2 separate regions of the Mus musculus genome follow, and region 1 is reported to be linked to region 2. The links are microRNA targets in miRTarBase. Many come from high-throughput screens and were not tested one by one. Region 2 holds a microRNA gene; the other region holds the end of a gene's coding sequence.
The links. The annotated mature microRNA mmu-miR-187-3p reads UCGUGUCUUGUGUUGCAGCCGG and lies in region 2 at 2,093-2,114, opposite strand. An mRNA with a match to its seed (bases 2 to 7 or 8) in the 3' UTR can be bound and repressed. Matches are read on the target gene's strand: a 7mer-m8 pairs with bases 2 to 8, a 7mer-A1 pairs with bases 2 to 7 and ends in A, and an 8mer does both.

Region 1: miRTarBase lists Rnaseh2a as a target of mmu-miR-187-3p. Seed matches in the 3' UTR shown: 7mer-m8 at 2,599-2,605.

Annotation. Positions count from the first base shown.
Region 1 is chr8:84,954,913-84,958,314 of GRCm38, forward strand. It overlaps Rnaseh2a (ribonuclease H2, large subunit), which reads right to left. Exons shown (of 8, transcript NM_027187.4): 7 at 3,054-3,177; 8 at 1,698-2,952. The coding sequence ends at 2,811. Rtbdn (retbindin) reads left to right here. Exons shown (of 7, transcript NM_001357326.1): 6 at 95-191; 7 at 1,094-1,694. The coding sequence ends at 1,315. Among named protein-coding and RNA genes, the nearest start is that of Rnaseh2a, 9.5 kb to the right of the region's middle.
Region 2 is chr18:24,427,018-24,430,419 of GRCm38, forward strand. It overlaps Mir187 (microRNA 187), which reads right to left and starts at 2,153; the gene lies at 2,093-2,153. Gm32547 (a long non-coding RNA gene) reads right to left here. Exons shown (of 3, transcript XR_877231.2): 2 at 3,272-3,402; 3 at 1-1,607.

The DNA of each region.
Region 1 (3,402 bases), not on the chromosome of region 2:
ATTGGGGCCTGAGAAGAGGCCTTGGTCTGAGGGAGGGACATTAGAAGCCCATTGTCTCCAAAGCCTTAAACCCGTCTTCCCTTCTCATGGCCAGGTTCACCACCTGCCAAGCAGATTTTATTTGTGGCCCGACTTGGCTGCAGTCCTCTGGAGAGAGAGGCTGTGAGCCCAGCTGCCGCACCTATGGGCAGGTGAGTGAGGAACAGAGGGTTGGAGGCGGAAATGGGCTTTGTAATATGGTCTGGATTACTGACATGCAATACAGTCTGGGTTCTTGATATAATTTAATTTTAATTAATCAGTTACTTTTTTTATATAGGGACTCTCCATGTAGCTCTTGCTATCCTGAAACTTAGCATGTTCACCTGGCTGACCTTGAACCCTTTTTGTTTGTTTGTTTTTCAAGACAGGGTTTTTCTGTGTAGCCCTGGCTGTCCTGGAACTCACTCTGTAGGCCAGGCTGGCCTCGAACTCAGAAATCCACTTGCCTCTGCCTCCCAAGTGCTAGGATGAAAGGCGTGTGCCACCACTTCCCGGTGACTTTGAATTCTTAACAATCGTCTAGCACTGTCTCCCCAGTGCTGAGATTAATCCTTTTAAAGGGGTGGGCTAATCTTTATTTTTTAAGGATTTATTCTTATTCTGTGTTTTGCCTGCCTGTATGTGAACCACCTATGTGCCTGTAAGAGGTCAGGAGGTTATAGACTCCCCTACAACTAAAATTAGGTTTGTGAATTACCATGTGGGTGCTGGGAATCTAGCCTAGGTCCTCTGCAGCAGCTGCTGGTGCTTTTACCGGCTGAACCATTTCTCTTCCTAAGTACCCAACACTATCTTAATGTACCTAGTTCATAGGTTCTTGCTGTACTCTTCCACATTCTCAGCCTTGGTGTGGGTAGTCCGCTGATTCTTGACTCTCCTATCAACTCTTTGCGATCAGTTCTAGGCTCCTCCCCTGGCTCTGACAGACTGACTGGCCCCTCAAAGGAATGCCCATACCCTCCCACCGCTCAGGCCATACCTAGTCCAGAAGACCCAGCCCAGAGACTCAGGTTCCACCTCCTCGAACCCTGACCACCACCCTTTCTCCTAGACCTTCGCCAACGCCACAGATCTGTGTCACTCTGTTTTGGGTCATGTCCTGCGGGTAGCAGCTCCAGGTTCCAGTCACTGCCTCAACGTCTCCATCTCCTCTCCAGGAGCGCGCCGCCGCCCTCGTGCCTGGATTTCAAATGTTGTAGGCAGTGGTAGTGGCAGCGGCAGCGGCGACAGCCCCGAGCCAATGTTTGGCTTTCAATACGTGTCCCTTCCCTAGGCCAGGAGCCACCCAGAGTCATCTCCCTCTCTTCCTCTCTCCTTCCTTCCTAAACCAGGCCCTCCCACCTGTTTTCCTAGAAATGATCTAACCCTCACTTATTTTGCTTCCCCAAAATAAAGTTGCCAGCCTAGACCATGCCATACGACATGGCTGCTGCTTGGGAAAACACCTGGGGAGAACTTGGCAACAATGATAGTCTTAGGGAAGAATGGAGACTAGCAACGCGGTACACAGGCCGACCCTGATGATCTACATTCTATTCCCAGAACTCACATGGTAGCAAAAGAAACAACTCCAACAAGATGGCCTCTGTCCTCCAGGTTTGCCCTGACACTTGTGCCCCCACCCCCAAAATAAATAAATAGATAACATAGTTTGTGGCTTTGATTTATTGATCAGGGCCTCATCATGTAGCCTTGACTGATGTGGAACTATGTAGACCAGAATGGCCTCTAACTCAGAGATCTACCTACCTGTCCTCCAAATGCTGGGATTAAAGGTATGCAATACCACAACAGCGCATGCACGCAAACACACACACACACACACACACACACACACACACACACACACACAGAAGGAAGAGGAGAGGAGGCAGAGGACTGGAAAGATGGCTCCCTGGTTGACAGCAACAATGACTGTTCTTGCAGAGGACCTGATTCTCAAGACCCACAAGGTGGCTCAAAAACACCTCCAACTCCAGTTGCAGGGGATCTGGTGCCCTCTTCTGGCTTCTTTGAGAACTGCATGGATGTGTTGCACAAATATACATACAACTCCTTTAATTCCAAGTCTGCAGCTGTGTCTCAGGCCTGTCTGGTCTACGTAGCAAGTTCCAGGACAGTCAAGACTACTTAGGAACCCTGTCTCAAAACAAGACAAAGCAAAGAGGGAGCACCAAAGAAAAATATGCGGGATGGAGAAAGCCAGTGGTCAAAAGCACATAGTTCAGATCAGCACCAACAGAGCAGGCCGTAATTTCTCTAAGTCCAGCTCCAGAGAAATCTGAAGCCTACGACCTCCAAGGGCCCTTGCATTTACACGTGCATACTCACATGTGTGTATACCCACACAAAGACAAAAATAGTTTTACAATTAAAAAAAATAAAAAGGCTATGATAGTGCATGTCTTTAACCTCAGCACTTGGGAGGCAGAGGCAGGTGAGTGCCACAATGTGCCCAAGACCAACCTGGTCTACACAGTTCCAGCATTGAGCTATCCAGTGATACCACATGGTGGCTCACAACCATCTATAATGGGATCTGATGCCCTCTTCTGCCGTGTCTGAAGACAGCTACAGTGTACTTACATACATAAATCATTCTTTAAAAAAAAAGCAAACGTCACCAATCTAGAAATGCCTATTTTGTTTGATGAATCAGCTGCTGGCCACAGGCACTGCTACCAGACCTTAGCCACAAAGCACTCGGTCCACTTCTTGAACAGCTTTTATTCCTGGGTTAGAAGGGCAGGTGGTGCACACGTGGGCTCCTAGAGGCTGCTGGCTGCCTCCAGGCCTCGCTCCTGGAAGTATCTGTGGGGGGCCTGAGGGCGGCAGGTCTGCGGGCCCTGGCTGAAGTAGGAGGTGATTTTTCCCGGTCTTTCAGGATCCTCCTCAGCTTCTGAGTCCTCCCTGTGGGAGAGAGGGATGACTGGCCACTTCCCATCGGGCTGAGTGAACGCATGGCCTCCCTTCCCCTGGTCTGTTCCCTCAGCCACTCTCAGGACACAAACCAAATGACATCTTCTGCCTCCTTCTCCAGGATGGCCTGGGCTGTGCTCCAACTGAACCGTACAAACTGGGGAAAGCCAAACACAGGGTCCACATGTTTCCTCAGCCAGGCTTTGGTCTTGGGATCTAGGGAGACAGAGGTAATGGTGACAACATCAGAGGGGTCAGGTGACAGGCACATGCCACATGTGTCCTTAGCTGCTTGATTTTCTTCTTTTTTGTTGAGATGGGAGTTTCACTATGTAGACCAGGCTGGCCATCCTCTGCCTCGAGCTGGGATGAAGGGTCTGTGTCTTTGGCTTCTTGAGTACCAAGACACCCTCCACTGTTGACTTAAGAGTCACATTGTCC
Region 2 (3,402 bases):
GAGTCAGAGACAAGTTCTATGAGTTCGAGGCCAGCCTGATCTATATACATAGTGAGACCCTGTATTGCCCCACCAAAACCTGCCACAGTACACATGTATATTTTATTGATCAAATAGTCCCAAATATGGTCATGGTAGCCTCTTCAGCTGGTTTCTATGTCCTTTTTGATGAGTATCACTTTTTTAAAGAGTTGTTATTAGTGTGTGAGATGTATGTGTGGGGTGGGGTTAGATGCACACGTGGGGGTCAGAGGAGAACTCTGGAGTCATTCTCTCCTGTCAGGCAAGCTCTTTGCCTGTGGAGCCATCTTGCCAGCTCTCTCATCTGACATTTCTTTCGTTATGGTATCAGATGACCCAGGCTTATCTTGTATGTCTTATCCCAGACCCAGAATCAGCCACTTCTTTAAGGAGCTCTGGACACTGTTCGGGTAACGTAGTCTTTGCAAACAAAGATCTGGGTATGAGGTGTGCTCTGTCTTCTTGGGATAGCATAGTCTTCTCTGTGGATGAGAGTTAAGGAAGAGTTATGCATGCACATGCCCCCCCCCCCCCGTGTGTGTGTGTGTATGTATGTGTGTATGTGTGTGTATGTGTGTGTGTATGTATGTGTGTGTGTGTGTATGTGTGTGTGTGTGTGTATGTGTGTGTGTGTCCATCTACACTGATCGTGTGACCTTTGATTCTACAGTACCATTGACTCTGGGGTGTTTGTCCTCTTTTAGTTATGAAACAGTCTCTTTCCATCTTGTAAGACTTCTCAGGGTTGAAGAGATGGCTCAGCCATTAGGTGCATTTTTGTTCTTGCAGAGGACCTGGGTTCGATTCCCAGCACCAAAGGTGGTTCATAACCATCCATAACTCTAGTTCAGGGTATCCAATGCCTTGTTCTGACCTCTATAGACACCAAGCCTGCATGTTATACACACACTACATGTAGAAAAAACACAAAAAAATGAATAAATCTAATAAAAGAAAAAATTCAAAGACTTCTCTTTCTGGTAGTAATATTGCTTATATTGTCCTTAATGTGTTTACGTACCTGATTACTCCACTGTATGTCACCCATTTTCCTGACAATGTCCCTCAACACAGTCATAGAGCATTTTACAGAATACCTTACCTGCACAGGGGTTTATATGCAGCATCTGTTTCCTTCCTTCCTCTGGATCGTCTAACTGGTGTGAGCCACATTTCTCCTGACCTGATTTGAATTTCTCGTTAGTCTTTACTAAGCAGGACATCACTAACACAGTGTCTAGTTTATGGATACCATGCACCATGGCCGCCTTAGCTTGGGAGTTTGCTATCCTGAGGCAGAGCAGCTCTAGACTCTCAACCCTTTCAAATTCCTGGCTTTCCTATTGGTTCAGACTAAATCACAGCCTCCAATGTTACTCAGTTTCCCTCCAAGGCACGCAAGAGAAGGAAGAAATACTGAACTGAATGTATTTATGTATTTAATACATTCCTTGGAAAAGGGGGGCCCTATAGATAGTGTAAGGTTCATTGAAAGTGCAGCATTTGATGCTTTCTGCGCAGGATACAGGGCAGACATTGAGATTCACAGCAGGCAGTCCTAGGTGCTGGAGAGAATCTGGTCATAACTGAAGGAAATAAATGAGAGCCTTTGGATGGGGAACTGCAGAAAAGTGACCCTCAGGCCCCAAGTAGGAAGCCAAGCATCACTTATCCTGCGCTCTCAGGACTGCCCCAGCCTCCATGTCCTGTCCAATCTTTCAAAATTGCAACACTGTTACACTATGTTGCCACCCACAACATTCAAGGCTAAATACTACAGAGAATTTAGCCCCCACCCCCCACCCCAGGCTAACGCCTTCCCCTTCCTCCAGCTTATCTTATTTCACGTTTATGGCTTTTGTCTTGTGCTGCACTCCTAACTGTGCTCAGCACACGCAGCCAGCCTCAGGGCCCAGGTTCAACATGCCTGACTGAATGGATGAAGGAGTCTTAGGTTCAAGATCTGCTATACAACCCACTCCCCTTCTGCCCTAGCCTTTCCAAAGTGCCTTGCCGTGTGTCAAATCCCTCAGGGGCCACCAGGCAGGCTCTGCTGCAGACCTGCGTCCCTCCGGCTGCAACACAAGACACGAGGGGTCAGAGCAGCGCCCGGGTCCTGTGTTGTAGCCTGAGGACCCGCATTGTATCCTGTGAGCCCAGGGAGCCTGCCCAGCATGGCTCCTCCTCTGGGTGGGCTACTGGCTTCTGCTTGGGGAGTCCCATCTGCTGTGTACCCAGTGAGGAAGCTATAGAACAGAGAGTAGCATGGTTAGTGGGTCCTGGGACTGGCACTGTGCTGCCCCCTAGGGGAAAACCCAGTGGTGGAAATGAGGCTGACCTTGCATGGTGAAGAAACCCCGCCTAGGCCACAAGCCTGGTGCTGATGTTGAGAGACAGAGGCTATGTGCACGCCCATGACCATGTCCTTCCTCCTCTAAACAGCAAATTATGGCTGTGTATAAGCCACTAATTATAGTTTAGTACAATGACACCTCCTAGGAAGTGGCTCTCACTCTAACACCACGATGAGAATTTTATAAATGCCAGGCTGATACAATGAATTGCCCTGGATTATAAATATCTTGACTGGGAGAATGGCAGAAAACACAACATTATTGCTACCCACTTGCACCAGGCCTATGGAGAATTTATTGTTTGTTTATGGCTTATTTTTATTCAAAAGCTCATGTATAACATTTTTGTGTGGACTCTTTTTGGTGAGTCATTCAGTGCTTTCTTATAAAATTCAAATGAAGTTGGTCTAAAATCAAGACAATGTCCTAATGTCAGTTCCTCCAAAGTGACATGTTGATATTTTTTCTCCAGACTCACTGTCGGGTAAACTCTTTGCAGAAAAGCCCATGGGCTTCAGGACTGAGGAGTGAACAGCAGTATTCCCCTCCCTCCCTCCCTCCCTCCCTCCCTCCCTCCCTCCCTCCCTCCCTCATTCCCTCATTCCCTCCCTCCCTCCCTCATTCCCTCATTCCCTCCCTCCCTCCCTCATTCCCTCCCTCCCTCCTTCATTCCCCCTCCCTCCCTCCCTCTCCCTCCCTCCCTCTCCCTCCCTCCCTCCCTCCCTCCCTCCCTCCCTCCCTCTTCTCTTCCCTCTTCCTTTCCTTCCTGCTCCCCCTCCCCCTCCTTTTTCTCTGTCTCTCTTTCTCCCTCATCTGTCCTCCTTTCCCCTCCCTCTGTCAATCTTCAGTGTTTCCTAGCCAGTCTCTACCCGCCCCACCCCCCCCCAAAGGCTCACACAATCAGCCTCTTGGGTAGCTGGGACCAAACCACACCACTGGGTCCAGCTCTCACTGGCTTGTGTCTTCAGTAACGCGACATGGCTTTTGGTTCCAGCAGAAGGCAGGAGACTCTGGGGACAGATTAGAG